Pelodiscus sinensis: one gene and its partners. The protein of the gene in region 4 interacts with the protein of the main gene of each other region in a pairwise test. Links are inferred from orthologs where the notes say so. Each region holds a gene or a part of one and is shown on either strand. Other genes may lie near its edges. The genes, in order: surfactant protein C-like, TMEM79, ERLIN1 and SEC22A.

What was found.
Region 1: the proteins of SEC22A (region 4) and surfactant protein C-like interact in binary tests that used the Homo sapiens proteins (3 or more experiments, as listed by UniProt). The two-hybrid records come from large-scale screens. The link is inferred for Pelodiscus sinensis from reciprocal best matches to the Homo sapiens genes SEC22A and SFTPC.
Region 2: the proteins of SEC22A (region 4) and TMEM79 interact in binary tests that used the Homo sapiens proteins (3 or more experiments, as listed by UniProt). The two-hybrid records come from large-scale screens. The link is inferred for Pelodiscus sinensis from reciprocal best matches to the Homo sapiens genes SEC22A and TMEM79.
Region 3: the proteins of SEC22A (region 4) and ERLIN1 interact in binary tests that used the Homo sapiens proteins (3 or more experiments, as listed by UniProt). The two-hybrid records come from large-scale screens. The link is inferred for Pelodiscus sinensis from reciprocal best matches to the Homo sapiens genes SEC22A and ERLIN1.

Annotation. Positions count from the first base shown.
Region 1 is NC_134738.1:11,604,157-11,611,439, forward strand, and holds the start of surfactant protein C-like, read right to left. Parts: upstream 3,004-7,283; 5' UTR 2,866-3,003; coding exon 2,683-2,865; intron 2,481-2,682; coding exon 2,334-2,480; intron 1,157-2,333; coding exon 1,016-1,156; intron 488-1,015; coding exon 377-487; intron 1-376. Other genes in the region: LGI3 (leucine-rich repeat LGI family member 3), read left to right, coding at 5,164-5,375. UniProt on the Homo sapiens protein: Pulmonary surfactant associated proteins promote alveolar stability by lowering the surface tension at the air-liquid interface in the peripheral air spaces.
Region 2 is NC_134734.1:16,208,458-16,216,148, forward strand, and holds the start of TMEM79 (transmembrane protein 79), read right to left. Parts: upstream 3,003-7,691; 5' UTR 2,853-3,002; intron 1-2,852.
Region 3 is NC_134718.1:7,017,808-7,025,338, reverse strand, and holds the start of ERLIN1 (erlin-1), read left to right. Parts: upstream 1-4,514; 5' UTR 4,515-4,647; intron 4,648-4,721; exon of another isoform or gene 4,722-4,818; intron 4,819-7,531. UniProt on the Homo sapiens protein: Component of the ERLIN1/ERLIN2 complex which mediates the endoplasmic reticulum-associated degradation (ERAD) of inositol 1,4,5-trisphosphate receptors (IP3Rs).
Region 4 is NC_134717.1:9,377,617-9,385,296, reverse strand, and holds the start of SEC22A (vesicle-trafficking protein SEC22a), read right to left. Parts: upstream 3,011-7,680; 5' UTR 2,859-3,010; exon of another isoform or gene 2,763-2,858; intron 2,118-2,762; exon of another isoform or gene 2,009-2,117; intron 1-2,008. UniProt on the Homo sapiens protein: May be involved in vesicle transport between the ER and the Golgi complex.

The DNA of each region.
Region 1 (7,283 bases), on a different chromosome or scaffold from region 4:
GGAATAATGCTCATTAGCAACACTCCCCTTGCTCAAACATTAGATGAGCCTTCCTTGCCAATACATTGATCCATCTGGCACAGGAGAGAGGCAGCATCGCCTAGCAGTGAAAGCAGGGAGGCGAGGGGTAGACAGCGGCCCCCGCGGGCTCCCGGCCGCAGCCACTGCAGGCAATGCCAGCTCTGCGCCGGGAAATGCTCCCCGGTTGCTTCCTTCCTGGGTTTGTCTCTAGGACTGATTCCCGGGGGAGCTCAGCCCGCCGGTGCGACGGTCTCCCAGGGACTCTGAGCGGCCTCCGCCGGGTTTTCATCTCTCACAAACGTCTCACGGCCCTTCCCCGCGCTCTCCTCTGCCCCCTTTGGCCCCGGCCGCTCACCTGGCGGTGCTGAAAGGCTTTGGCAATGGCATCCAGGCCTGGAATGTTCTCCGGGTCCATCCGGCGGAGGTAGCAGGCCCGGCCCGGCCAGGATCGGTAGCCAATCAGCAGCTGTTTGCAGGCGGAGCAGAGGGTGACGTTAAACCCTGGCAGATCCCCGGGAGCCAAATCACCCTGCAAACCGGCCCCTTCTGTTTCCCCCACTGTGACCCTCTCCGTCCCCTCTGCTCAGCCCGGCAGCCTCCTGCCCCCTCCGCTGGAGAAGGGCCGGGCCGATGTGTCCCTGTCCGCAGCGTGGGGGGCTGGGTCGCTGGAAACGGGATCCAAGCCTCCTTGGAGATTGCATTTGCAAGACCAAAACCCACGGTGGGACTCGGAACACCCCAAACCTGGGGCACGCGCAGATCTTGGGGTTTACGCTGCTCGTCTCTGGGGTGCAGCACTGGGACCTCTGGGTACCTCTGGGACGGCGATGTGGGCCCGGCGGAAAGTAACCCCGGCTCCTCTACCGCTCATGCGAGGTCGCCTCCAGCGATTCCAGCCTGCGGCCAGCCGGGTCCCAGCCTGCCTGAGGTCTGAGCCGAGCCGGGGACGCTCCCCGGAGCCCTCACCCAGCTTTGCCCCGTTGGCCCTGCTTACGTGGCGGTAGTCGTAGACCACGGTGGCTGACGAGTTGATCCCTGCCGTGACGTAGAAAGTGCCGGTCTTTTCTTTCCCGCGTATGGAGAGCTGCTGCGGGGACCCTTCCCCGTCCAGGCTCTGGATAGTCATTCGCAACACCTAGGGGACAAGGACACCCCCGGGGTGAGGTGTGTGCGGCGGGGAGCCAGAGCCAGAGCCGTTCATTGCTTATACCATAGGCGCCAGATGAAGACCCAGCTGGGGAAGGCAAGCCCCAGCCCCGCCCTTTCTTCCTGAGGCCCCGCCCCTCCTGCCTGAGGCCCCGCCCCTTCAGCATCCCCCCCCCCCAATCCCTCCCACCCCCAGCCCGATCTAAGGTTGCCAGGTGTCTGGTTTTCACCTGGACAGTTCGGTATTTTGGCCTTCTGTCTGGTAAAAAAAAAACCAGAGAATACTGGACATGTAAAGGCGTTTGTGAGGGCAGGGGAGCGAGAAGGGCAGGAATTTAAAGCTGCAGTGACCTTTTTTTTTTTTTTGCTTAACAACTTTGGTCTCCCCCTTTTTTTTTCCTCAGAAGAATTTTTTCCCAGTGGTTGGTTGTTGTTTTTTTTGGCGGAGGGGAGGGTTTTGATATTTTTTGTTAAACCATCTGGCAAACCTAGCCCGATCCTTCCTGGCCACATGGAGGGCCGGGGATGCCGTGCTACCGCCCAGCGCTCCCAGGCAGCGGGGGAGCCGAGCTGCCCCAGCCCTCCTGGGTCGCCGGGGCACTGGGGCAGCTTTGGGAAGGCAGGGCCTGCCTGAGGACGCGCCTCTGAAGATGCGCCGTTTCCCTTCGCCCCTGCTGAGTCCATGCCGGCAAAGAGACGGGAGGTGTCTGAGGCCCGGCTGGACAAAGCCCCGGTTGGGATGGTTGAATCGGGGTTAGTCCTGCTTTGGGCAGGGGGTGAGGTGACCTCCTGAGGTTCCAAGGAACCCCAGAAATTTTGCTGAGGTCGGTCATTGCTTTGACCACAGACCCTAGTCCTCCAACGGCCCAGCCTCCTCTGGGGTTCCCTCTGCTTGTCCACACCCCCACCGGCTCCCACGGAGGCGCTGGAGCAGCCTCTTCTCCCGGCTGCTCCGGCGTCTTAGCTCGGGCGCATTTCCCCCGCTGCCTGAGCTCCAGGCGTGGCTGCACCAGCCCCATGCGGTGGCCGCCCGCTGTGCCCGGCGGCATCTGCTTCTGGCGCATTGGCGCATTGCCCCTCCGCACCAGGCCTGGCTCCGAGCAGCCCCCCCTCCCCCTGCGCGGGCGCCTGGCGGGAGGGGACCCGTGTTTTAACGCCCCACTTACAGTCTCCGTGTGCTTCTCGGACAAACGCAGCCCCATGAGGAGGAAGCCCAGCACCACCACCACGATGACCACGACCACCACCACCACGATCAAGAGTTTCTTGAGGCGAGAAGCGAAGCCGGGGACCCTCGGGGTGGCGGTGTAGTCCTGTGGGAACGGAGAAAAACGCTGACAGCAAGCAGAACCGGGGGAGGGGGGAGGGGTGTATGCTGGAGAGAAAGGACCCCCCTCCCCAGTCGTTATTACTTATATTAACGTAGCATTTTGGAGCCCCGGTTGTGGCCCTGCACCCCGTTGCGCTAGGTGCTGTACAAACGCAAAACCGCCCAGCCTGTGTTCATTGCCGTACCGGCGGGGCCTCTATCAGCGCCTCCTTGGTGCTCACATCCATCTTGTTCTGTGGATCCCGCCGTGCTCCGTCGTGGCTGGAGAAGGGCTTATATAAGGGGCTTGAGCTAGTGGAGGAGCAGAGGGCAGGCGGGCGGAGGAGCGGTGGGACACTGGCGTTCCCCAGGCCCTCCCGGCTCCACATCAAGTGTTTAATTCCCTTCGGATTTGTTTGTGAACCTGTTTCCCGGGGCCCTTCAGAGGCAGGTCTCCGATAAGCCCCGGGCCCGTGGCCGGTGAGAGGCTCCAAGGACTCTTGTCTCCGGGCACGTGGGCCTTTGAGCGCCCGAGAGCCGCAACCGCAGGGGTTGCGAGGCCAGAGTCCCCCCGGCTCCGAGGGGCTGGCGGGAGTCTCCGGCCCGCCAATGTGGCCAGAGCCAGGCTTGGCTCGGAGCCCCGCGCCTCTGAGCCCCTCTGGCACCGGAAGGTGCTTCAGAGGTTCAAAGCAAGAGCCGCACATCAAAGGCCTTTGGCGAGAGCCCTCGCCGGGAGCGCCTGGTCCTCGCGGGGGGGGGGGGGGGGCGCTGGGGCACTTGGACTGGCTCCACGGACTCTGCCGGGCCTCGGGGTCCTGCCTCCACCAGCCCCACGGGCTCTGCCGGGCCTCGGAGTCCTGCCTGCCCGAGCCCCACGGGCTCTGCCGGGCCTCGGGGTCCTGCCTCCACCAGCCCCATGGGCTCTGCCGGGCCTCGGAGTCCTGCCTGCCCGAGCCCCACGGGCTCTGCCGGGCCTCGGGGTCCTGCCTCCACCAGCCCCATGGGCTCTGCCGGGCCTCGGAGTCCTGCCTGCCCGAGCCCCACGGGCTCTGTCGGGCCTCGGAGTCCTGCCTCCCCGAGCCCCACGGGCTCTGCCGGGCCTCGGGGTCCTGCCTCCCCGAGCCCCACGGGCTCTGCCGGGCCTCGGGGTCCTGCCTCCACCAGCCCCACGGGCTCTGCCGGGCCTCGGGGTCCTGCCTCCACCAGCCCCACGGGCTTTGTCGGGCCTCGGGGTCCCACTGCCCACTGGCCCCACCAGCTCCGGGGTCCCGCCGTCGGCCCAGGGCTCTGCAGCTGCCCCCAGCCTGGGGCGTGAGCGTCGCCAGCTCTCCTGGACCGGACGCCGTTTGCAGCGGTGGAATCCGGTCCGGGAGAGTTGGCAGCCGGTTCTCAGCCGGGGTGGTGGGGGCGGGGTGCAGCTCAGCACCCCCACCCCAAAAGGAGTTCCAGCCCCACTTCCTCCCCTGCCCTGCCTCTGCCCGGCCCCCCAGCCCCTTGTTTGTGTGTTGTCAGTGCCCTGGCCGGGGCGCCAGCTGCAGAGCTGAGACTGCCTCTGTGGAGCCAGGAGACGGCCGTGCCTGGGACCGGAGCCACTGCTGGCTGGTGCCGCTCGCCGCTCGTCATGAATTATCCAGGAGGCTCCGCAAGGACGTGTGGGACGGGGGGGGGGGGGGGGGGCAGGGGAGGTGGCTGCCAGGGCGATGGGGGAGGGGATCGGCGGTAGGTCGAATGCTGCGGGGCAGAGGTTGAAGGAAATGGGCAGGCAGGGAGACCCTGCTTCACGGGGAGGATCCTGCTGCAGGTGCAGGTCTCAGTGTGCGTGGAGGGGGGGCGTGATGGGGAGGGTGAGTTGGCGAGGGCCAGAAGCCAGCGGACGAGGCTGTGTGGTAACTGCCCTACCCTGCACTCCGGATACGCACAAGAGCACTCAGTGCACACTCGTGCACGTGCACACGTGTTCACGCACACAAGTGCTCCGGCCTCCGTGCGTGTGTCCACACACGCACCAACAGAACATGCACACAAGCACCCACAGAATGTGCAAACTCAGGCTCGTGCAAGCACACACAAACGCACAGAAGCTCGCAGTCCCATCCAGACACAATCCGGGCGTGCGCCATCAGGTAGACCCCCGCACCTGCGAAGGAACCACACCATCCTATATTTGTGTACACACCACATTGCCACGAACACGCTACAAACATTCACCACAGCCTTCTTGCACGTGTCTTTTCACTTTTCGCACGCACAGAGAGACGCACGTATGCGTTCATACATGCGCGCAGAATTCACACCTGGGACACACACCCACACACTGGCACGTGCAGCACGTGCACCCCTGCAAGCGCGGGAGTGCAGGCAGCTCACACTCGTGCACACCCTAGTGTGCACAATGGGCTCACGCCCTCCCCGTGCACCGACGAGATCCCCAGCAGCGACAGAACTTAGACGAATCACTCGGCAGCAAAACACTCCTGCTCCACCCCCCCTCTGGCAGCTGAGTGTGGTGCTCTGCAGAGCAGCAAGATGGACTGTAGCATCCTCGCTCCCCGGATTGCTCCGGCTCTTGGCTGCAGCTCCCGGCCTTGACAGCCAGGCCAGGGGCGCTGGGAGGGGTCCAGGGCAGAACTGAAGCAACGGTCCGGGGGGGTTCTTCTCCTGGAGGTGGGGGAGGCCAGGTCAGGGCGATGGCTGAGCTGCAGCCAGGCAAAGTGATGCAGCGGGGGCGAGTCCTTGCCTTCCTCCTGCTGAGCCTGGCCTACCTCTGGCTGCCGGCGGGCTCCAAGCGAGCCCCCAAGCTGCCCCTGTGTCCCCCCAGCTGCTCCTGCACCCGGGACACTGCCTTCTGCATCGACGCCAAGGCGGTGCCCAGGAACCTGCCCCCGGACGTCATCTCCCTGTGAGTAGCGGCCGAGCCGCCGGGAGCGGGGCAAGGGGGGATCGCGGGTGGGATACGGGGGGTTAGGGGAGCCTCTGCTGGGGTGAGGGAGAAAGCGGGGGGGGTATCTGCGGGCTGAGGGTCCTTGATGCTCTTGGGGGTTCCCCAAAAGGCAGCACATTCTCTGGGGGTGCAAGAGGATGGGGTGGTTGTGGGTTGGCTAACACAGACGGGGGGATTCCAGGGGGTATCTATGTGATGTGTGTTCAGTAATAACCCGCTGGGTGCATGCAGGTTGTCGGGACTATCCTGGAGCTGCTAGTTTGCATGAGATCACCGTGCCTGCACGGCCTTGTTGGGGGTCTCTGCCCCTCGGGGTGGGGGTCGTTTTCTTTTAGAGCGTGGCCTGTGGCAGTGTGTGTGGCGGTGCACGTCTGGCTGCGTGAGCACGGGGACGGGGGTTGTATGCCCGCACATCGTGTGCACCCTGGGAGTCTTTGATCATCCGGGACGTGCACAGAGGTGCAATGTGTGCGTTGTGCAAACGAATTCAGTGTATACACAAATGGAAGTGTGTGTATGCTGGTGCAAGAGCAGTGTGTGTGTGCGTGCTGGTGCAAGGGCAGTAAGTGGGTGTGTGTGCATGCTAGTGAAAGGGCAGTAAGCATGTGTGTGCATGCTGGTGCAAGAGCAGTAAGCGTGTGCGTGTTCTGGTGCAAGAGCAGTAAGTGTGTGTATGCATGCTGGTGCAAGAGCAGTAAGCGTGTGCGTGTTCTGGTGCAAGAGCAGTAAGTGTGTGTATGCATGCTGGTGCAAGGGCAGTAAGCGTGTGCGTGTTCTGGTGCAAGAGCAGTAAGTGTGTGTATGCATGCTGGTGCAAGGGCAGTAAGCGTGTGCGTGTTCTGGTGCAAGGGCAGTAAGCATGTGCGTGTGTGTAGGGAGAGGGAGACACAAACACTTTTCTCCCTGTGTTGCCACCTCCTGGGCAGCTCCCCAGCACAGCCCTAGGCAGCCCTTTCCTTCCACTGTGTTCATCACAGCTGATTCTCACTAAGCACTAGGTCCTGACTGGGCCCTTTGCCGTGGCATCGGGCCACCCCCCAGAGACCTCGCAGCGCCCCTCCCTGCGCCCGTGGGTCTCCCCTTCCCTGGCCGGGGTGGAACCCGGGCAGAACGAGATGCAGTCTCCTCTGTTCTGCGCCCGTCCCTGCTGGATCTCTGCAGGGCCCTGCTGGGACAGACCTTTTTTTCCATCGCCAGGGTGGGGAAGGGCGGCTTGTGCTCGGGGTGTGTTCGATGTGTGTGGGGCGGTGCCCCTATTTGTCTGGGGTGTGCATCTGCTGCATGGCACGTGCAGGTGCGTTGTGTGTGTGTGTGCATCTCTGTGTGTGTGTGCATGAGTGTGCGTCTCTGTGTGTGCATCTGTGTGTGTGGGCACGCGTGTGTGAGTGAGTGTGTACGTGTGAGTGTGCATCTGTGTGTGTTGGTGTGAGTATGTGTGTGTGTGCGTGCATGTATGAGAGTGTGTGTGAGTGTGCATGTGCGTGTGAGTGTTCATCTGTGTTTGTGTGTGTGAATGTGTGTGAGTGTGCATCTGTGTGTGAGTGTGAGTGTGTGTGTGAGAGTGTGAGCACAGGACATGCATCAGGCCTGCCCCCGCCCCCTGCCAAGCTCCCATCCTGACCTCGAATAGAGATGGGCTGGGCCCAGCTGCAAACCCCATTTCTGCTCCCCCCCCCTTGTCCCTGGCTTGACCCGTTCAAGTCCTAGGGCAGGGGGGGGGGGCAGGGGGATGTGTGTGCACATAGGGGCCCCGGAAGCAGCTCCCCTGGACACCTGCTGGCCCCCTTCTTGTCTGCAGGGGCCCCCCCTTCCTGCACCCGCTGGCTCTGCTGCCCTCCCAGCCCCCTCACTAGGGCCTGGGGCAGG
Region 2 (7,691 bases), on a different chromosome or scaffold from region 4:
TGCTTTGAAATGCACAAGGGTCCCCTGCGGCCTGCGAGGGCTCTTGTGTATTTCAAAGCCATGGATCCCGGGGTCAGCGGGGGACGTGGGAAGTGCAAGGTTCTGCGTAAGTGCTGCGCGGAGCCTGGGATCAGCTGGGGAGTCCCCAGTTAACCCTGGGCTCCACTGCCCCTTTGAAATGCCACCTCCCTGCATTTCAAAGGGGCAGTGGAACCCAGGGTCAACTGGGGACTGTCCAGCTGATCCCGGGCTCTGCACGGAATTTCTCCAGAACCCGGGATCTCCCCAGCTAATCCCGGGTTGTGGGGAAATGCAGCGGGGAGCCTGGAGTCAGCTGGGAGTGCCCAGCTGGACCTGGGCTCCACAACAGCTGCCCCTTTGAAATGCCAGAAATGGCATTTTAAAGTGGCCGCCGCCGCACAGCTGATCCACAGATCATCTGTGCAGCTGCTGCTCCTTTGAAACACTGCCTTGGGGTGAAACACTTGCCACTTTGAAGTACCCCTTCCTCCCCTCTGCTTTTCTGCCTCTATCTCATAGAAGCAGCAAGGGGGACAGAGAAATCAATTAGTCGACTAGTCAAAAGACTATCCGATAAGCAAATGCTTATTGGCTAGTGGATTAGTCGACTAGTCTTTAACATCCCTTCTTGGAACCTAAATCTTGGATCCAAAACACTTCTGAATTGGAATCTGCATTTATGCTCTGGCCCCTTATTGGTTGAACATAAAGATCCCTGAATGTTGGGAATAGAGATGCAAATTTTGGGGCTCTGGAACCTGGATGGTAGTTAAAAGAGAAGGGCTTGATTTTCAGAAGTTCTGGCAAAGCCCATCCAGTTTAACAGGGCCCTTTGCTTCATCAGGCAGGTAAATACTTGCCGATAGCCATGAGCTTACCTGGAGGGACATTTATTAAACTGAGGAGGAGCAAAAATGTTTAGTGCGTCCCTGAGCTGCACACACACCGTGCAAATCTCTCCAGCCTTAGAGGGAGTGGCTTGAATGCTGATTTGCAAGAGCTGGGAGGCAGGCCCCTCTCAACTGCAGGCAGCAGACCAATAATTAAAATACCACTGAGTCAGAGAGGTGCAGGCCAGAAGGGACCCCTACCAGATCTTCTCGTCTGACCTGTATCTCACGGGCCACCGATACCACCCGCACACCAATCCCAGCAACTGAAAGGAGATTGAAGTAGGCTAGCCCATAGGAGAGGAGACAATCATAGAATCATAGGACTGGAAGGGACCTCGAGAGGTCATCGAGTCCAGCCCCCCGCCCTCAAGGCAGGACCAAGCTCCGTCTACACCATCCCTGACAGATGTCTATCTAACCTGTTCTTAAATATCTCCAGAGAGGGAGATTCCACCACCTCCCTTGGCAATTTATTCCAGTGTTTGACCACCCTGACAGTTAGGAATTTTTTCCTAATGTCCAATCTAAACCTCCCCTGCTGCACTTTAAGCCCATTACTCCTTGTCCTGTCCTCAGAAACCAAGAGGAACAAATTTTCTCCTTCCTCCTTGTGACACCCTTTTAGATATTTGAAAACCGCTATCATGTCCCCCCTTAATCTTCTTTTTTCCAAACTAAACAAGCCCAGTTCATGAAGCCTGGCTTCATAGGTCATGTTCTCTAGACCTTTAATCATTCTTGTCGCTCTTCTCTGTACCCTTTCCAATTTCTCCACATCTTTCTTGAAATGATGTCCCCCAGGCTGGCAGAGAATAGGCACTGGGAGGCGACACGGCCCCTGTCGTGTTACGCATGGGGGCAAAGCCGGGAAATGTTGGCAGCCCCTCCTGGATTGGCTGAGATCTGCCAAGGAGGAGAGCTAGTTTATTCACCCCAATGTTGAACTCTGTGCACCCGTCAGGGATCCCTGGGGAGCCAGATTCCCAGCCGGTGTCTGGGAGCTACCCCCGCGGAGGATCTAGCCCTGCTGCTTTTCAAGAGACATAGGAGCGTGTCCATGTGGGGCTCAATACGGGGGAGATTAAGAGCCACTTGCGATGCCTTCTGCCACAGCGTTAGCGGTGGAAGGAGAGGGTGTCAAAGAAGCCACAAGTAAAGTATTGACACGTTTCTTGCCAGGGCTGTCCGTACTGGTGCTCGATGCATCCCAGTACTGGTACCCCTCCTGGGAGGGGAAAGGAGTTGCCACCTCTCCCGGACCGGACGCCATTTACTGTAGTGATGGTGGAGCTGACAAGCGGGAGCAGGGCCGGGAGGGAGGCGCAGGCCAGGAGACTCCAGAGGAGCAGCGGGTGGACGCGCATTTGGCCAAAGAGAAGCAGCACGTTCACGGGGGAAGCGCCTCGTCTCTCCAGCCGCCCACTGTGCGGCTGCCCCCTGCTCCGAGTCCCCCAGCCCGTGAGAGCTGCTTGCTGCCGCCTGGTGAGTGGGGCCTGGGTGCTGAGCCTTGCTTGCTGCCGCTGGGGGTTGGGGCTGGAGGTGGCTGGAGCCCATACACAGCATGCGGCTGCAGAGGACACCATGAAACTGGGGGCCCAAATTTTGTGGTGCGTGTTTTGCCTATCAGTAGGGACAGCCTTGTATCTTGCACACCCAGGAATAGTCCCTAGCTTCTTCCATAGCACATTTCATTCAGAGATCTCCGTACGAAAGAGGGCAGGCGCACTGTCCCCACATTGCAGATGGGGAAACCGAGGCACCGAGCAGTAGTCTGACACTCTCTCTCTCTTTCTCTCTCTCACTCACACACACATACACCCCGCCACCCCCAGAGAACTCCCTGTACCCCTCTTCAGAACAACCCTTCCACTCCACCAGACTGCAAGAGAAAATGAGCATAGCAAAGCAGAGAGCTGGTTTCCCTGCTTGGCTGCTTACTTGGAGAGCAGGCTGGGCTGAGCCGGGCCATGTGGAAACGGAGCTGTTTTGCGGATGGCTGTCCTGGGGTTTGATCGCTGTTTGAGGCTTCTTTCCTTTTCCTGGACTTCAAACCTGTTTAGCCAGCCAAGGTGTGGCTACAATTAAAGGGGCAGAGGCAGATTTGCCTCACCCAACCTGCTGAATCCGTCGGCAGAAAAGGCTGTTCCCACAGGTTGTGGGCATGTGTTGTGCATGTGGGGTGGGTGCATGTTTGTGTGGTGCCTGTGTGTTGTGTATGCATGTCTCTGTGCTGCAGCCATGTCTTGTGCAGGCTTGTTTGTGTAATACGTGTCTGAGTCATGCAGTAGTAGTGTATTATTATTATTATTATTTTATTACCCGTCCCGTTGCGACGGTAGACATACACGTGGCCTTCCCCCTCCCCCGCTGTTCATGGGGGTGGGGAGGCTTGATCTGGCTTGGGCAATGCGGCCCCCTCCTTTCCCACTGCTCCAGGGCCGGGGATGCTGGAGCCACGTTGCCTCCTCCCTTCCTGCTGCTCCCGGGGACGGGGATAGATGGGGCTGTGCAGCCTCTTCCCTCCCCACTGCTCCTGGGATGCTAGGGCACGTGCTTGCACTCTTCCCCTCCCCGTGGTGGTGGGGGGCCTGTGTGCGCTCTGTGCGCTGCTCCTCCTTCTCCCGGGAAGAGAAAAACTTAATAGAAACACTTAATGTTAACAAATCTCCGGGACCGGATGGCATTCATCCAAGGGTTCTAAAAGAACTCAAATGGGAAATTGCTGAGCTGTTATCTGTGGTTTGTAACCTATCCCTTACATCGGTTTCCATACCTAATGACTGGAAGGTAGCCAATGTGACACCAATATTTAAAAAGGGCTCTAGAGGCGATCCTGGCAATTACAGACCGGTAAGTCTAACGTCAGAACCGGGCAAATTAGTCGAAACAATAGTAAAGAATAAAATTGTGAAGCATGTAGAAGAACATAATTTGTTGGACAAAAGTCAACATGGTTTCTGTAAAGGGAAATCCTGACTTACTACTCTATTACAGTTCTTTGAAGGGGTTGACAAACATGCGGACAAGGGGGATCTGGTAGGTATAGTATACTTAGATTTTCAGAAAGCCTTTGACAAGGTCCCTCACCAAAGGCTCTTGTGTAAATTACATGGCCATGGGATAAGAGGGAAGGTCCTTTCTTGATTGAGAACTGGTTAAAAGACAGGAAACAAAGGGTAGGAATAAATGGTAAATTTTCAGATTGGAGAGGGGTAACTAGTGGTGTCCCCCAAGGGTCAGTCCTGGGACCAATCCTTTTCAACTTATTCATAAATGACCTGGAGAAAGGGGTAAGCAGTGAGGTAGTAAAGTTTGCAGATGATACCAAACTGTTTAGTATAGTCAAGACAGAAGCAGACTGTGAGGGACTCCAAGAAGATCTCACCAAACTGAGTGATTGGGCAACAAAATGGCAAATGAAATTTAATGTGGATAAGTGTAAAGTAATGCACATCGGGAAAAATAACCCCAACTATATGTACAGTATGTGGGGACTAATTTGGCTATGACAAATCAGGAAAGAGATCTTGGAGTTATTGTGGACAGTTCTCTGAAAACTTCCACACAGTGTGCAGTGGTGGTCAAAAAGGCAAGTAGGATGCTAGGAATTATTAAGAAAGGGATAGAAAATAAGACCCAGAATATCTTACTGCCCCTGTATAAAACTATGGTATGCCCACATCTTGAATACTGTGTACAGATGTGGTCTCCTCACCTCAAAAAAGGTATTTTGGCTTTGGAAAGGGTTCAGAAAAGGGCAACTAAAATGATTAGGGGTTTGGAACCGGTCCCATATGAGGAGAGGTTAAAGAGACTGGGACTTTTCAGTTTAGAAAAGAGGAGACTGAGAGGGGATATGATAGAGGTCTATAAAATCATGAGTGGTGTGGAGAGGGCCGATAAAGAAAAGTTATTTATTAGTTCCCTAAATAGAAGAACTAGAGGACACCAAATGAAATTAATGGGGAGCAGGTTTAAAACTAATAAAAGAAAGTTCTTCTTCACACAGCGTGTAGTCAACCTGTGGAACTCCTTGCCAGAGGAGGCTGTGAAGGCTAGGACTATAATAGAGTTTAAAGAGAAGCTGGATAATTTCTTGGAAGTTAGGTCCATAAAAGGCTATTAGCCAGGGGATAAAATGGTGTCCTTGGCCTCTGTTTGTCAGAGGCTGGAGAGGGATGGCAGGAGACAAATTGCTTGATCATTGTTTTCGGTCCACCCTCTCTGGGGCACCTGGTGCTGGCCACTGTCGGCAGACAGGATACTGGGCTAGATGGACCTTTGGTCTGACTGAGTACAGCCGTTCTCATGTTCTTATGTTCCCCTGTCCATGGTGGGGGCGGGGCCTCAGCAGAGGGGGTGGAGTTTTGGCTAGGGTCCTGCCTTCCCCATGAAACTTGTCAAGTCTTCTCAAATGTTCTCTGTGACAGAGAGTATGACGGATGCTTCTCCTTTTATAAAAGTATATATTATTATTATTTATTTATTATTTAACATGCTTACGTATACTCATGTTGTGAAGGGATGTCAGTGTGGTGTATAGTTGTGTTGTCTTATGCATTCAGGTTTGTGTGTTGTGTTTTCCTGTTCATGGGTATGTGTGACTGGATTGTTTGCACATGTGTCTTTGATGTGTGTGTGCATATACATGCGTTGTGTGTGTATTATCTGTTTGGTGCATTTGCAGTGTGTGTGTGTGCCACGTGGTGTCTGTGTGTATTGGTGCATATATGTGTAAGGATAGGGAACATATAAGTATATATGTTGTGTATGTAATAGGCATAGGTGTGTAAATGTGGTTTCTGTGTGGGGGTTTTTCTATGTGGATAAAAGTGTGTCGTATGTTGTGTGTATCCGTATAGGCTGAAAGCAAAATGTGTGAATGTGATAGCTACAGGCATTAGAGCTGTCGCGTGTGGATCTGCCTGTATGCATATAGAAGTGTGGTGTGTGTTGTGTAATATAAACTCTGTGTGCATGTAGGCACATGTGACATCAGGATAAATGCTGACTTCAGTGTCAGAATCTTAGATCAATATTTAGTTTGCGCTATGTACCAACCCCTGGATTGGACAGTAGTTTGGGTGCTTAATCTGCGTAGCGTAGGAAGCCAGCCAGGGGCTCTCAATATTTCTGTTCAGTTGGAACAACTCACAAGGATCTTGGCGGCAGAGAGAAGCAGATAATACACATCCACAGCCACTTCGCCAAGCAAGCACACCAAGGTTTGTTTTGATGTGGAGCAATTTAGTGAAATGAAATGGGGGAATAGACCTAACGTGGCTACTGTTTATCCTAGCCACCCCCCAAAACCCATCATCAGATTACGTTTAGGATCTAATGATCAAAATTAATGTATGCAATTAAATACTCCAGAAAAGAAATTCCAAATTTAGCTTCTTTCACTCCATCCCATCACAGCACTGCCCAATGGGTGGATAACTGAACTTTACTTAGGACGTGGAATGCCCATTGATTCAGCCTGTTAACATATTTTAAACATATGTTTGAATTCTGCTCCCTTGGGTCCCATCTCCTAGCACTGATCTACCCTGAACTTTAGAAGGCTTGTGTGGCTTACAATACAAAGTGGATTTCCTAGGGACTGATTACATTATGAACTAGAAGATCTACCTGGCGTTGCTCGAGTCCTTAACTCTTTTCTTCATTTAAAGCTCTGGGGTGGGGGATGAGGGGTTCAGCATGCAGTCTTCACTCAGGAGAGAGGACAATCCCAGTCCTCTCTCAGTACAGCAGCTTGGGGTCAGGTGAGAAGCACATAGAATCCTAGAGCTGAAAGACACCTCAGGAGGTCATCAAGTCCAGCCCTCTGCCCAAGCCAGGACCAATCCCAACTCAATCATCCCAGCCAGGGCTTTGCCAAGCCGAGACTTAAAAACCTCTAGGGATGGAGATTCCACCCCCTCCCTAGGTAACTCATTCCAGTACTTCACCACCCTCCTAGTGAAATAGTTTTTCCTAATATCCAACCGAGAGCTCCCCCACTGTAAATTGTAAGTCTTCTGCACTCTAAACAAACCCAAATCCATCAGTCTCTCCTCATAGGTCATGTGCTGTAGCCCCCTAATCTTTTTGGTTTTCCTCCGAAGGAAAAACTTGCCAGCTGTCTACACTGGCCGCTTGAATTTCTGCAAGAACACTGACTTCCTACTGTCTGAAATCAGTGCTTCCTGCGGAAATACTAGGCTGCTCCCATTCGGGCAAAAGTTCTTTTGCGCAAAGCTTTTGCGCAAAAGGGCCAGTGTAGACAGCTCAGATTTGTTTTGAGCAAAAAAGCCCCGATCGCGAAAATGGCGATTTCCATTTCATGAGCAATTGCATTCCAGGCACATCCCAGTGTCCTGGCAAAATCAAACCCTGATCTTGCTTTAAGTTATGATCAGAGGAAGGTGCTTACCAAATTTGTTGGTCCTAGCTCTTACCGTTTAGGAGGAGGTCTTCAAATGGACTCACAGACAGATGGATGGACAGATGTACAATCTCTCTCAAATATATAGTAGATTATAGTTACTCTGGGGACCTCCACTGAAATCAGGACCCTGTTGTGCTAAGCTGCGTGCACACACGTAGTAAGGGATAGTCCCTGCTCCAAAGGGAGTACAGTCTAAACCTTCCCAGATTACTATATCCCTTTCAGGAGTTTGATTCATCAATGTACCCCCAAGTTTCAGCTTGCTTAAAAACTACTTGCTTACAAAATTAGACATGAACATTTAAGTGTCACCATGCATGGTTACTGAAAAAAATCTGATTTTT
Region 3 (7,531 bases), on a different chromosome or scaffold from region 4:
GTGATTTGGGGTGTGCAACCCAAGCTCTTTAACGGGATTTGATTTTTTTTTTTTTCTTTCAGAGGGCAGGTCCTCATACTTTCTGAAAATCATGCTCTTTTAAAATGTCTTACTTGAAAATCTTGATTCTTGCCTGTCTCTCTCCATTACTCTGTCTATAAGGATAAATTGCTGTAACACATTTCAAAACCAGTTAGCCACAAAGCAACAAGTTCACCTCACTATTCAGTACTTAAGTTTGGTAAGTGAGGTGAACTTGTTGCTTCATGGCTAACTGGTTTTGAAATGTGTTACAGCAATTTATCCTTATAGAAAGAGTAATGGCAACAAAAAAGTGAAGAAAACTATACATTTCACATCCCCCACAAAGTAACCAGTAGTACACTAAGTGAGCGTCCATTCCCTTGCCTGCTGGTGCAGTCATTTACACACGTGCAAGGTGAGTGTACATTTTGCGCTGGTGTGAGTGACCAAGGATACAATACAATGGCAGTTCTCAAACTGTGGGTCAGTACCCCAATGTGGGTGTCAAATCCATTTTAATGGAGTCACCCTGACTGGCTTACACTTGCTAGGGCCTGGGGCTGAAGCCAAAGCCTGAGGGTATCCATGCTGTGTAGCTGGGCTCAGGTTACAGGTCCCCTGCCTGGGGCTTTGGCTCCCCACCTAAGCCAGCAGAGCTCAAGCAAGCTCAGACTTGGATCTCCCTCCCTGGGGTCATGTAGTAATATGGGTCAGAAGGGGTCATGGTACAATGACATTTGAGAGCCTCTGCAATGGGAAATTGGGCTCACTGGTGAACTAAGCACAAAAAGGCATATTTCATCTAGTGGCAAACTGAATTCTGATCAGTGAGATTAAAACAAGCTCTCGAAGGAAAATATATCTAAGTGTCTTCTGGGTCTGTGCTGCTTCATACACCAGAGATCACTACATTGGTTTTGTCCATTCTCAGTGTAGCCTCAAGCCCCTCCCACCTTTAAGTTACTCAGTGCAATTTCTGCTTGGTGCCATCCTCCACAAGCTTTCTTAAGTTAGAAATAAGGGGTGTGCAGACATTTTGCTATTCACCAGTAAGGTTTCCATCCATTAGTCTGCGCTTCTTGCATTTGATGTGTCTCATAGCAGAAAAAGTCTGCATGTGTATGTTGATCCAAAATTTGACATCTTATTGCAATGCAGTACTGGAGAACTAGACTATGGGTATTCAACCAAAGTTCTCATGTGCTTTTTCTCTTTAGCTGGTTAATTTCATCTTCATCCAGGGCACTAACATGAATTAATTACTTCTCAAACTTCCTTTTATGAACTCCAGTCCTTTGATATACTACTTCACACTTTCTCAGATGAAATTCAAATAGATTTGAGAACAATAAGAGGAAGGACTTCAGATCGCTGAGAAGAAAAGCAGTTCTCAAAACTCCCTGCTGGTGTAAACAGCACTTGTATGTGAAATGATGGATCATAGTCATTTCCTTGATCAGTGTGTTTCATGGGGGGAAGGGAGGGGCTTTTTCCAAATGTGGCAAGTGTGTGTCACATGAAGTGTCACATGCAGGTAACGGAGCTGACATTAACTAAAGGTGTAACATGAATTTTCTGACACTAGCATTTAGTATGAGCAAGCAGTGTTTTTTTCCCCCCCTTGCAATGTCTCATTCAACACCTTCAGGTGACCAGTTATGATAAAAGCTAAAATCCCATTTTTATTTTCTGACTTTGCGTGCATTTGAAATTTCTGAGCAAGAAACCCTTTGATTTCTGGTAGAAGTGCCAGGAAGAGGTCCAGTACTTCACCACAGGGTAACCACTGCACTTCAGTGTGCATGACAAGATCTTCATATTCTGTTTCAATTTGTTCCATCAGTTCCACAAACTGATGGTGATGCAGGGAGCAAGCATGAACTAAGTTAATAATCTGTATCACTTTGTCCATTACAGCTTTCAGTGTGTCTCCCTTGTTAAGTTTAGCATAGAGCATCTCTTGGTGTATTATGCAATGCACATTGCATATGTCAGGTACACAAGATTTCAACAAAGCCATGGCATTTTGCTGTCATGGAGGAGCGCCTATCTGTTGAAACTGATACCTTTGATATACCTTTTTTGGAACCAAAAGAATTGTAACTTGTACTCTCTTAAAATCAGTAACTGTCAGAGAAAATGCTGAGCCTTGTGCTCTCCCATTTATTCCCAAGAAATCTAAGAATTCTTCTGTCGTGTTCAACACAATGAATGCGTGTGCAGAGCTGAGTAATGTTATTAATATCTTTGCATTCATGCAGGGCTATCCTGATAGCCACACTTGAACATACAGTTATGAAAAACTAGTCTTCCTGATGATTTGACTTCATTTCTGTAAATATTGTAAACAATAAAATTTTAGTAATAGCGGTTTAGAGTCATTTTTGTTAGGTAGATTCTGGGGATTTCCCCATCCCAGGCTGCACCATCTTGTGGTAAAGGATTAAGATTATGCCTAGGATTCCACGCTTCAAGAATGGCATTTCTTGTCTCCGATCCTTCCTGGTCAGCAGTGATCATTTAGAGATACCTGTATTGCTTTGGAGACACTCACCTCTTCAAGTGGAATATCTACCATTCCTTTCCCCGGTAAGCCCAGGAATTCAGACTTAGGCAGCGTCTCATGGCTTGTGCTATAGGCCTCTCCTGATCTTGACCAGGCAGACCCCCCGTCTACATTGGTGGAAGTATTGAACATACCACCCAGCTGTACTGCCTCTCAGATGGGGGGAGCCAAAGGTAGAATATATTCCTGATTGAGTTCCTTGAGTATCACTACTTTACTTAACAAATAAAAGATAGAGGGGGGACTTGATTACAGTAAGTTAATATCCAAGTGGGGAACATTTTAATAATGGGCTTTCCAATTTAGTGGAGAGAGATGTAATAGGACCCAGTGGTAGTAAACTAAAGCTAGTCAGACTGGAAACAAGCTGTACATTTTTAACTAAGAAATTAACCAGTGGAATGACTTTGAGATCATAACCGATTTTTCCATCATTGGCTGTTTTTCGTAAGATCCATGCTCCAGGAATTACTCTGGAAGAGCACCTGGCCTGCAATAGGCAGTCTAAGGAGATGGCCATAAAGGTCCCTTCTGACCATGGAATACGAATTCAGGTTATCCCCTTGGCTGTTTGCTTTTATTGCTGAAAGATCTAAGGATCAGGCAGTTTCAACCCAGAATATTTCTGGGTGGATGTCAGGTTGTATGAAGTTAGGTTAGGAGATGGTCAATTTACAGTTACCCAGAAACAATAGGGACAGAGCCTTGTTTATAGGTTATTCCAACAGCTGATAATTGTAGGGATGCTATTTGTTTGTGAATATACATTCCTCTAATTATTGTGGAGGTGTCATGTGCTCACTTGGTTGGGACTGTATTAAAATACCTATTTAACTAGACTTGCAGTAGTGCCCTCTGCTGTGTAATAGACTCCCTGTGAGACCTTGGTTGGGGCTCCAGTACTGGTAAATCCAGACTTTGACAAGCCCTTTATGGTGTTTACCCATGCCTCTGGTGGCTGGGTGTGATGCTAATGCAGGTGGACAAAAAAAGGAAGAGATGCCCTATTGTGTACTTGAGCAAGAGGTTGCTGCCTTGCAAACAGAACTGTGTACTCATAGTGAAGGAATGCCTGTCTAGGGTGTGGGCTCTTAGAAAACTGCAGCCATATCTATTTGGGTGGCATTTCAAGGTGTACACGGACCACTCTCCCCTGACCAAATGAAAGGGCGAATACCAAGCTGCTGCTATGGAGTCTGCTCCTGCAGAATCATGACACAGAGGTGGTCCATGTTAAGGGGAGTGCTAATGTCATAGCCAATGCTTTATCACAGAGCAGGGGCCCCGAACTTCCCCAGGCCACTGGCTCAGTGCCCCTGCTCCGTTTGGTCTCGAAGGGAGAAGAGATGCGACAAAGTGGGGGACTGTGTTTGCTATGTTATTGTTATCTCTACTACTATGTTATGTTATCTCTATTACTGGGTAGTAACCCAGTGCATGTGCCTTAGTTTCCCTAGGCACTTCACCAGGAGTGAGATGCTGATGGGAATTTCAGTGTCGGTCTCCTGCAGGTACACAATGGATGATGCTTTCTGTACCCTGAGCCTCGGTGGGGGTGTCCTGTAAGCAGGACTAAGGCTGCAGAAGGGCTGGAGCAGGCTTTGGGGTGTTTTAAGTGGGGGGGCAGAGACGGGGCTCTGTTCTGCCTGCTGGCTGGCGGTCAGTGCTGGCTGCAGATGGGGGTTTGGGGCCCCCCCCACACACTGACACCACCCAGTGCCCCCCCCATTCAGCCTGGTTCCCCCTTGTGACACTGCACAATGCTACTCTGGCCCTGAACCCTGCCCAGCGCCGAGCCCCGCCCCCATACGTCACACACACCCCTCTGCTGAGCCCCGCCCCGCTACACCGCCCGTCCCCGGGTCGGATTCGGCCAGGGAGCGGTGCTGCACGACGCGGTCCGGGACGAGAGGTATTTTGCCCTCGCTGCTTTACCGTCCCAGGGGGCGCTGTGATTCTGTTCGGTGATTGGCTGGGGGAGGCGGAAGTAGCCGGGCGTGGCTGCGCATGCGTGGGAGTGATGTATTCGGTGGCTCGTGAGGGGCGGCGCTGAGCAGGTACTGGGGGCGCAGCGGAGACCTCCCCTTCCCCCTCCCCCTCCCCCTCCTCCTCCCGTCACGCCGGCTGGGGGGGGGCCCTCGCTGCGGCCCGGGGCGCTGCCCTCAGACTCCCCCTCCCCCCCCCCGAGCCGGGGAATGCGGCGGGGCGCGGGCCTGGTGCTCCCACAGGTCTCGTGGCGAGACTCCCGGCTGCGCGCGCGCGTGGGGAGTGTGGGGGGAGGGGCCCGCTTGTTCCGCGCGTGGGGAGTGTGTGTGGGGGGGAGGGGCCCGCTTGTTCCGCGCGTGGGGAAGTGTCTGTGTGTGGGGGTGACGGGAGCCGCAGTCCGTGCTCCTGGCTGCCAAGTCAGCGCTTAGGAAGCTGCAGCGGTGTCTCCTTGGGACACTTGATTTTGGTGGGGAGTCTGGCGGCGGGAGAGTGCCTGCCTGTTACTAGTAGGAGCCTTAATGTCTGCAAGGTGAACGGGAAATGGTCTGTTGGCGCTTGCTGAGAGGCGGTTAGTTATTACACCAGTTTCTTGATATCCTCCTAGATTAGTCGTGGGCTTGGTGGACACAGACCCCTTCTGCCCTGTCCCTTAGTCACGGTGGGTTTGGACTCTCTTACCCAGTGAATAATTCCGATGCTGTTCACACTTCTGAGCGTCCGTCTGCAGGGAGACTTACCCAGAAACTTGCTAACTTGATTCTGCTGCCCTTGGCAATTTCTGAGCAGCAGCTGCAGACGCCTTAATGCTTCTTTGTCTGCAGAAACAGGAAGACAAGACTCTGGATTATACCTGGCTTGTCTTTGCAATCTTGGCCACTAGAAATGTCACTTTTTCAAACCAAGGGAAAGCACAGACTCTGCAGGAATAAACGACTAATTTCTCCCTTGCCTGCCCTACACACTCACAAGTGGGAAGCTTTGGTTCTCAGCCATTTCTTATAGGGGCCCTTGGATCTCATATCTCTTTCCTGATTTGTACTAAGCTAGTCATGACTGTAGCCTTTAGTTGGGAAAGAGTGACTAGCTGGACACAGATTGTTCTAGGAAGTGTGTAGCTTGGTCCAGGTGAAGGATGTTTAATCACCTGGGCTGAATAAGGGACATGGAGAAATCTGCTCTGCACTTGGGCAACTGTGGGCACCAAAGGGAAAGTTTATTTTCTTATCCTGCTAGAATCTACGTGCTGGAAAACTTAGTTTTGGTTAGGGACTCTTACTACATTTAAAAGGCAGAACTGCAATTCTGCTGCACCTCTGCCTCCCCTCCCCGCCTCTCACACCAGCTGCTGCCTCTTCCCCCTCCCCTGATAGAGGCAGCAAGGGGGGTGAAAATGCGAGTAATCGACAACTCTCTTACATCTCTAGTTTGGGTTCCGTGAAATGACTATTTAGAAGTACATTGCCTTGCTGGCCTCATTCAGATTGCACGTTTAGACTCTTGCCTATTCCTTCCTGCCAAGAGCTTGCGCTGTATTTCCTGATCAAAGTCCAGTTTTTTTTCCAAAGTAAACAAGGCCAAATCTTAGCCAGTTTGTGCCTGTCTGAGAGAAGGGTAGATTGTGCCTACTATATTTTTTACAATGGCAAAAAAAGAACAGTCCCATAACACAAAAGCTCAAGGGAGTTTTCTCTAATACAGGCAGTCCCCGACTTACGTCGGATCCGCACTTACGAACGGGGCTTTCTCGCCCTGGAGGTCGAGGTGGCGGATTGCTACCTGCGAGCTCCGGGGCGAGAAAGCCCTGTTCATAAGCTGCTCCGGTGCCCCTGGTCTGCTGGAGACCGTCTCCAGCAGACCAGGGGCACCGGGCGGGTTCCCCGCGCTTCTGAGGCTTTGTCAGCCAACGGTCTGTCCCTTAAGACCGGCTGAAGTTCTTTTAAATTGTGCCTGGTTCTGTTACAGCAACTTAAGGAGTCAGGTTAAAACTTAAACAGTTACAGGTTTATTAAAGAAACTTATAAATCATATGGTTGCAATGGCTATTGTTCTATTTCTTAACTACTAGCAAAATATAGATCTTAAAAATGGTTACAAAGAAGATAAAGATAGAAAAATAGAAATAATGGTACCAAGTAACAGCTTACTCTTTCTATGTGTACACTTAAGACAGAGGACCACATCCAGGTACAATTTTTACCCCCTTCTGTGCCTCTCAACTCCAGCATGTCAGGCCAGGGCCGGTCCCTCAATTCCTAGGAAAGATGAAAATACGAGGTGGGCGTCCCCATAGAACCTCGGGAGGTCAAACACCTAACCTGACCAGCAGGTAGAGGGTAGAATGACACTCAAAGTGAGTGTGTGCTGGGCCCATCTTTTATACTCATGGGGTCACGTATTTCTCTTTCTTATCTGTCATGCCAAATGGGGCTGGTCTGTCTTTTGTGAGACCAGTTCTTACAAGGGAGTTGTGAACTTAATTTACACTTGTAAGGCTGTGTCCAGACTCAGGGTTTTTTTCGGGAAAAGTAGCCTTTTTCCGAAAAAACTTCACCTGCGTCTAGACTGCAGCCGCGTTCTTTCGAAATTAAATCGAAAGAACGCGGCTTTTCTTTCGACGGCGGTAAACCTCATTTCACGAGGAAGAACGCCTTCTTTCGAAAGTGCTTCTTTTGAAAGAAGGCGTTCTTGAATGTAAATAGGGCTTCTTCGAAAGAGAGCATCCAGACTCACTGGGTGCTTTCTTTCGAAAAAGCAGCTTGCTCTTTCGAAAGTTCCGCGTGCAGTCTAGACGCTCTCTTTCGAAAGAGGCTTGCAGTCTAGACATAGCCTAAGAGAGAGAACTAAATTGGAATTACTGGGGATTCTTTTCTCAGTGGGAAATTCCTCTTCCAGGGACTGTGTGTGTGTTCGAATCAACATAGGTGCCAGCCGGTGGCAGTCTCGCATATCCTGATC
Region 4 (7,680 bases):
GAAGACTGCCTAAAAAGTTGTCATTTAACTTAAAAGAAAATCACATATGAATGTAGAAAAGTTAATGAACACACATTTTTACTGCATGTAATTCAGTCTTGTAAAACTATCATAAACATTTACCACTAAATAAAAATCTACTAACTCTTTCTATAACAGCATGATGAGAATTAAAAACCAAGGGACATTTTACTCAGCCAACAAAAAAAAAAAGTCTCCATTGCAAGCAGGTTTTTTTGCACATGTACATATGTGCACCAATCTTCCCTCTAAGTTTTCCCCTCTATGTGCAGAATAGATTTTGTTATGTGCATTGAGGCATGTGCAGGTATGCACCACCAGTAGAAATACATGCTGCTGGCTGTTGGCTCTCTGCTAATCAACTGGGAGACACTTGAGTCTCACCAGGATGGCCACCTAAGCACTCATCTTACAGGGAATGCTGATGTACACATAGGAAAATGTGAGCAAGAAATATTTGTATAAAGTAACATTATCTTTAAGTGTCATTTCTATCTATCTATCCAAAAGTTTAGCAATTAATTTGCAACTAATTCCTTGAATATCTAGTAATTTTTCCCCTAATACTCTCTACTTTAGACTATTCTAAGTTCAAGGAACCTCTCCTTTTTTAAACCATACAAGACACTCTCTCACCTTTCACAAATTTGTGAAAAGGACAGTACTCCACTATTCTCATTTTAAAGCTGCTGTTTGCATTGCGGGACCCTGGGAAGTGGGAATGTGCAATTGCAGTGTCCATGACCTAATCCCAGATCCTTCTTATTGAGAAGAGGTAACTGGTAATTGTGTATTGTGTATATGGAAGCACATGGCTACAACTCCATCTTTAGACGTATGTTCAGTACATATTCCTGTTTTTTTCCTCTCTATAAAGATAGCATTTCAATTTGAAATGTGACAGTATTAGTTTATAGACTATTTTCTAGGCATTTTTGTTTGATTCCTTTGCATAATTCTTAATACAATTTTTTTAAATTGCCCTGTTGACAAGTATTCTTTGTGGCAGCACCACTTTTAAAAATACTCCACATTGCCTATCTTACAATTAATTTTTTGATAATTTTTGTGAAGTAGATTTGATGCAATGGGTAGTCTCTACTCTCCAACAGATGCTAGACTTCCAGCACCTCATTTTCCAAATTACCCCTTCCCCACACACAAACTGATTACATTAAACATTCACAAATAACAGTGTGGCTTTGCGATATGCATATTGCATGTTGAAGGGCTGATTCAGAAGACAGATTTAAGTACAGTACTTATGATAACATTAAGGTGTGCACTTATGATGTACCGTAAGGTGATTTAATTTCTCATTTTCCTGCTTTTTCTGGGCTTGTGTCATGTTACGTGTATTAACTTTAACTGTTTCATAAGTTTCAGTCCTAGTTTATTTTCTTAGCTACGTAAAAGCTTTATATTGTACCACTTTGGATGCCCATTTTATTAATTAAAATACATTACACAACAAATACAACAAATAAAGGGCTACCCCTTCCACCTTGACACCATCAAATACAACCAGGACAATAAAATAAACCTAAACCCTCGCTCTCAGCCCATATGCCCCTTCTCGGACACCAGAGAAAAAGATACGGGTTTTGTAGAATTCCCAAGTGGTTAACAATTATCTAACGTCTGGCAGACTAAAAATGCACACCAAAATTAAGGAACCCCCACTTAGAATACCCTGTCGCCAACTTCATCCTGTTTGTACCAAGGAACCTTCAGTGAGCATTTTAACTGATTGCACCAGTACCATAGGAATGGGGACAAAATCTCTATGGTTACAAGGGCTCAGAGCACTTATGCTTCGAAGGTTTGCACCAAAACCTTGGTGTTGATGCAGAAGTCTATTAATAGCCCTCGAAAATCCTGTAACTGTGTTCTAATGAGCTTCACTTGCAAAATTATGTTTAATAAGCAGGCAACCAAGTTCAGTACTAGTTTCCATAGTAAACTAGTACCAGGTAAAGTACATTACCTTAACCTGATCTTGAGGTGTTATGGGTAACTCATGGGAGAGGGGCACTGTGTCCTCCTCAATAGCTTCATTTAAGACACACTGGCTACAGGAGCTATCCAACACACACCTGTGTCGTGCCCAGGTAAGAAGTGGGGAGAAAACAGAAGTCATAGCTGTTCTGGAGAGCAGCATTTGCCAAGGCGCCTACCTTATGCTTAAACTATGGGAAAGAGGCCCTAGGCGGGTTCATGCCTCCCTCTCTCTGAAAGGCAAGTGGACATGTGGAATAACGCCTCCACTGCAACAGCCCTCCCCTCCCCTCCACCCCACACTCTGGTGCCTGGGCACTGGGAGAGGGACCCATCCCCATGCTGAATAGGGATGGAAACAGTTGTTTAAAACGGTCACCGTGATGACCCTTAACATCCTGGCGCGGCCGGCGGCGGGCAGGGGCTCTGCGGGACGACACTTAAGCAAAGTGACCCAAGGGCCAGGGGGAGTTGCTGGAGGGGAGGGGGACAAGGGCTGCTCTGGCCAGCGCCGCCCTCGCCTGAGGTGGGTCGCACGAGGCTGGCGCTGCGCCGGCCCCTGCCGCTTAACCTACAGCCCCGGCTCTGCCACTACGGCTGCCCCCGACGCGCCCCCGGGGAGGGCCTGCGGCGAGCTCTGCCCCAGCCTCCCGCCTGCCCCCGGGGGAAGCCCCCGCTCCCTCCACCTGCGCCGGGCCCCACCCCTGCCCTCGGAGGCCGCCGCTCCCGGCCCCCGTCCGCACCTGAGCCGCCTGCGGGCCGGCCGGGGGGGGCCAGGCGGGCCTGGGTCCGTTGCTAGGCAACTGCTCAGGGAGGCCTAGCAGGGCGGGTCGAACTACCTGCCTCACCGGCGCCGCGGCATCGGCCGCAGGGCTCACGTCCCCTTGCCGCAAGGCATGCTGGGAACCATCTACGTGGCCCGCCACCAACTGCTTGGCAAGGGGAGATCACGTGACGCTGCGCAGTCATCCGGACGGCGCTCTGCGGGGGGGAGGAGAGGTGGAGAGGCCGTTGCTTTGTGGTGATGGGGAGGGGGGGGTGGCTAGGTGAGGCCGCCATGACCCTGGGGAGAGAAGGGGGCTGGGCCGCCATTGCTGTGTAGGGCTGAGGCAGGGGCGGCGGCCCCGCCATTTTTCTTTCGCTGTGGTTGGAGTGACCCTATTTCCTGAACCAAAGTTAGGGACACGTTAGCCACGCCCCCGGCCCCTTAGCCACGCCCCCTGCCACAGGACGTTCCACCCTTGGAGGTCAAGCAGGACACGTGTCCAGAAGTAAAGGTTGTCATGTGACCGCTCTAAGAACTCTGCCAATAGGGATGAGCTTTGCCCCCACAGGACTCCCCCTCCCCTCCCATCCTGCAATTGCATTTACTGGGGGGGGGGGGGGAGTGTTCCCTCTGAGATGTTCTTCCCATGAGCGGAGTGAATTTTATCTTGTGCACCAGTTCATGTGCACTTGTTCAGATGTGTGCCACTGTGGGACCCAAGTTACTAACACATATCTTATGAACCTCTCCCTTTTCCCTCTGCTGCCATGTCTCCTACCCGTCCCTCGCTCCAACTGCTCCCCTGGTGCCTGCTGCCCCGCACCCCTCACCTTCCTCTGTTGTCCTGGCTCCACCCCTTCTCACTCCCCTCAGGCCTCCTGGAAACTGCCCGCTTCCCATGCACGAGCTCTTCTCTTCCCCCTGTGTCCACTCCTCTTCTAACCCCACTCTGATCATCTCTAGCTACCCCTCCCCATCCCCTCTCCTAAGACCTCCTTCTACCCACCTGCTCAGTCCTCTGGTGCCCATCCCTCCCCTCCACGTATCTGCCCTTCTGCTTCATCCCCACATTCCCCGGGCACCTGCACCTTCTTGGTGCCCTCTCCTTCCCTCACTGCCCCTGCCTTCCTTGCCCTCTTTCTCTCTGGTGCCCACCCCCTCACTATCCTCTTCTCCAGTTCCCCTCATGTTCCTCTGTGCCCTCACACATGCCTGGCTCCATCTCCTGGCTTCCTCATACCCACCCCTTCTTTCAATGCCTCGTCTCCGGGCACCCATTCCTCCCCACTCCTCTTCCTCCCTCTTGCCCCCATTGTTCCTCCCTTTCCTTTCCTGGCATCATCCTGACCCCTCCCTTCTCCCATCCCCACTGACACTTTCCCTCCTCTATCCCCTCCTGCCTTTTCCTCATTGTCTCCTCTTGGCCCCCTGGCATTTGTGTCTCCTCCATCCTGCCCCTTAGTGCCTTGCCCTTTCTTCTCCTGCCTTGGCCCCCTACTCTCCCCTCAGCACAAGCCCCTTCCTCTCCTCATCCCCCTTCCCCTAAGTTCTCCCTCTGCCCCGTTCCTCACCTTCTGCCTTCCAGAAAGCAGTTTGTGGGGCTGGATCCTGCAGTCTGGCCCCAGAAGCCCTGGTCCCAGCTGCTTCTGGGGTGGGACTGCTTGCTGGGACTATGTTACTATTTTTAGTCCTGCAGTTTGGGTCCCCACAGGCTGCCCAGCTCCTACTAGAGTCAAGGGACGTTCCAGTGAGGCTGCCCCGGCTGGAATGCACCTCGTGCGGCTGCCACTTGACTTGAGCTGGGGCTGCCCACGGATACGTGGACTGCGATACTGAAAATAGCACCCCAGGAAGCCCCATCTCCAGTTCTGGCACCTGCCGAGCCCAAGTGCACCCGGCCCCATAGCGCCCCAGCTGGACTCCACGCAGCTCCTGCTGGGGCTCCAAGGCAGCCCAGAGGAGAAGGAGGTGGTGCCACTGGGCCAGACCCCTGTGTGGTAGAGGCATTCCTGTCGGGGGAGGAATAGAGCGGGGAAGGTGTCCTGGCTGCCCTATACACCCTTTGGAGGGGGAGGAGGCTGCTGCACCATGCCAGTGTCCTCATCAAGTAGTGAAATGTCCAACAGGGCTTTCCAGGACATTTCACTATTTGATGGGGCACTGGGACATAGTATTTAAATTCAGGACAGTCCCGTAAAAATTGGGATGTACGGTCAGCTTAGGTATGGTTCATGTTGGCTGCAATTTGTGATGTTAATGGAGTTAGTGATGGGGGGGGGGGGGAAGTTGCCACAAATGCCCATAGCTGTTGGCTTCCCCATGGAATTTTTGGGTTTCTAACGCTCCCTCAGGTGCTTGTGACCAAGCCCATCCTTTTTGCAATGTTTCAAGTGCCTGGTGATGTTTAACGCAGTATACATAATCATTATCCTCTCCCAAGTCAACCAACAACCGCAACTCATCGGCAGCAGTAGCAGGCACCAAGGACTGGCCTGATACAACACAACGCTATTCGCACAGACCAACACACAATCAGCTGGTAATGCAGTCACAAAGCAACTGAGTTTGATTTGAAAACCATCCACAGTCCATTACCAGTCTCTGACAGAGTCATGTTTAGGTAAATCTACTTTCTGTAGTGTGACAAGAGAGTTTGCTTCTTATAATACTCTTCTACTTGTCCGTGTTTCCTTCTTTTCAGTACAACTTTATTTCATGTGCTGTTACCCTAATTCCGCTCTCCATTGCTAACACCTTTTAATTTCTCTCTTTTATTATGTAACTATACAATTGGACTTAATAGTGCAATGACTTCTAGAATACAAATGATAAGCAATGCATCATATGTCAGATTCTCTGGGTCACCTGAGTTGCACTCAATGTGGGAAGAAAGCAGGGGAGGTATCTTCAAGCCACGTTTGGCTACGTCTACACTGGCGCATTCTCACACAAAAACTCTTTTGCGCAAGAGTTCTTCTGCGAAAACTCTTCCAGAAGAGAGCGTCCACACTGGCGTGTGCTTTTGCATAAGAGCATCCATGCCAGTGTAGACACTCTCTTCCGCAAGAAAGCTCTGATGGCCATTTTAACCATAGGGCTTTCTTGTGCAAGAAATTCATGTTGCCTGTCTACACTGGCCTCTTCTGGAAGAGCTCTTGCGCAGGAGGGCTTATTCCTGAGCAGGAGCATCAGAGTTCTCGCGCAAGAAGCCCTGATTTTATACATTAGAACGTCAGTTTACTTGCACAAGAATATGTGATCAGTATAGACAGGCAGCAAGTTTCTGTGCAAGAGTGGCCGCTTTTGCGTGAGATCACGCCAGTGTAGACACAGCTTTTTTTCTGTGACTCCAGCCCTACTCCAATAGCACACACAGCAGCTGGAAATACATTTTAACTTGATACCTGGGAATTCCCAAGATATGATAAAGCCAATGCAACAACTGAACATCCCCATCATCTCCAGGCCTCAGTGTAGGCAGGTGACTGGATAACTCCAATGAAGAAGTGGGATGTGCTCACGAAAGCTCATGATATTATCTGCATTTTTGTTAGTGTCTAAGGTGCTGCAGAAGCATTTGTTGTTTTTTAAATTTTTCTAGTGATCCTAGGGTGATAGAGTAATATCCATTGGAACTATGGACAAGCAGGTGTGAATGGTTAATTTATGCAGGAGACTGGTTCTATTCCTTTGAGTTCCCACTCCTCAACCATGCATCAAGCACAGTTTGGTAAGACTAGAGAATTTGGCCTATGATGTCTTTCCTATAAACTATATCCCATAATTCTTTACAAAATTAAATACAGTAAAATAATAGGGATGTTAGCTATCATGCAATTCAATAGTCATGTAACCACATGAATCTTTAGCGGTTAATGACTATTCGATAGTCAGAGGTGAGCCAGCAGCCAGTGTGCTCCTGGCTCCACTCCTGGGGAGCCCCTATTACCCAAGCTGCTCCCTCTCTATCAGAGGCAGCGGCATGGGATGGCAGGTGGAAGCTGGTCTGCAAGGGGAACCAGTTTAAAAACCAGCTCCCCAGCGCAGACTGGCTGCCTGCCTCCCCGTGCTAATGCCTCTGATACAGAGGCCGCAGTGCAGAGGCAGCAGCTCCTGTCCGTGGGAGCTCCCCATGGACAGAGGCAGCAGCATGGGGGGAAGTGGAGGCTGCTGTGAAGCAGCCTCTGTCCATGGGAAACTCAGGCCCACTGCGGGGAGCTCGAGCCCACTGCAGACAGAGGCTGCTTTGCGGCAATCTCCCCGCCCCAACCCCACCTACGCAGGGGAGGAGGGCAGCAACACTGTGGAGCTGGTACTGGAGGGAACCATCTTTTAAGTCGGCTCCCCCCAGCACCGGCTCCTCCCCACTCCCACTACAGAGGCAGCAAGGGAAGGGGGAGGCAGGTCCAAAGGATTCTGTATATGCAGGGAGATGGCTTGAAAGCCGGCTCTCCATGCGTATTGGCTCCAGCCTTCTTTCCCCCCCACCCCACACACCCTCTGCGCTGCTCTGTCTCATGGGAGGTGGGGACAGGCGGCTCCAGTGATCCTGGGGAGCCAGCTTTTAAGCTAGTTCCTTCCGGGAACCGACTCCAGCTTCACCCCGCCCCCACCATTTGCTGCCTCTGATACAGAGGCAGCAAGGTCAGGGGGGAGAAATGCGTGTAGTAAACAAGATTAACCGGTAAGCCCAGGTTTATCAGTTAATTGTGTAGTCATCTACACAATAACATCCTTATTAAGGATAAAAGGAAAAAATAAGTCTCTAAAAAATAATCTTCACACACCGCATCTCAGTCTGCAATGAGATAAGTTAGTGTATTTTTATTTTCTGTGCCATTAATCCTGGATTTGTAGAAATAAAACATGGGGAGCAATTTTTGATGAACATGTAA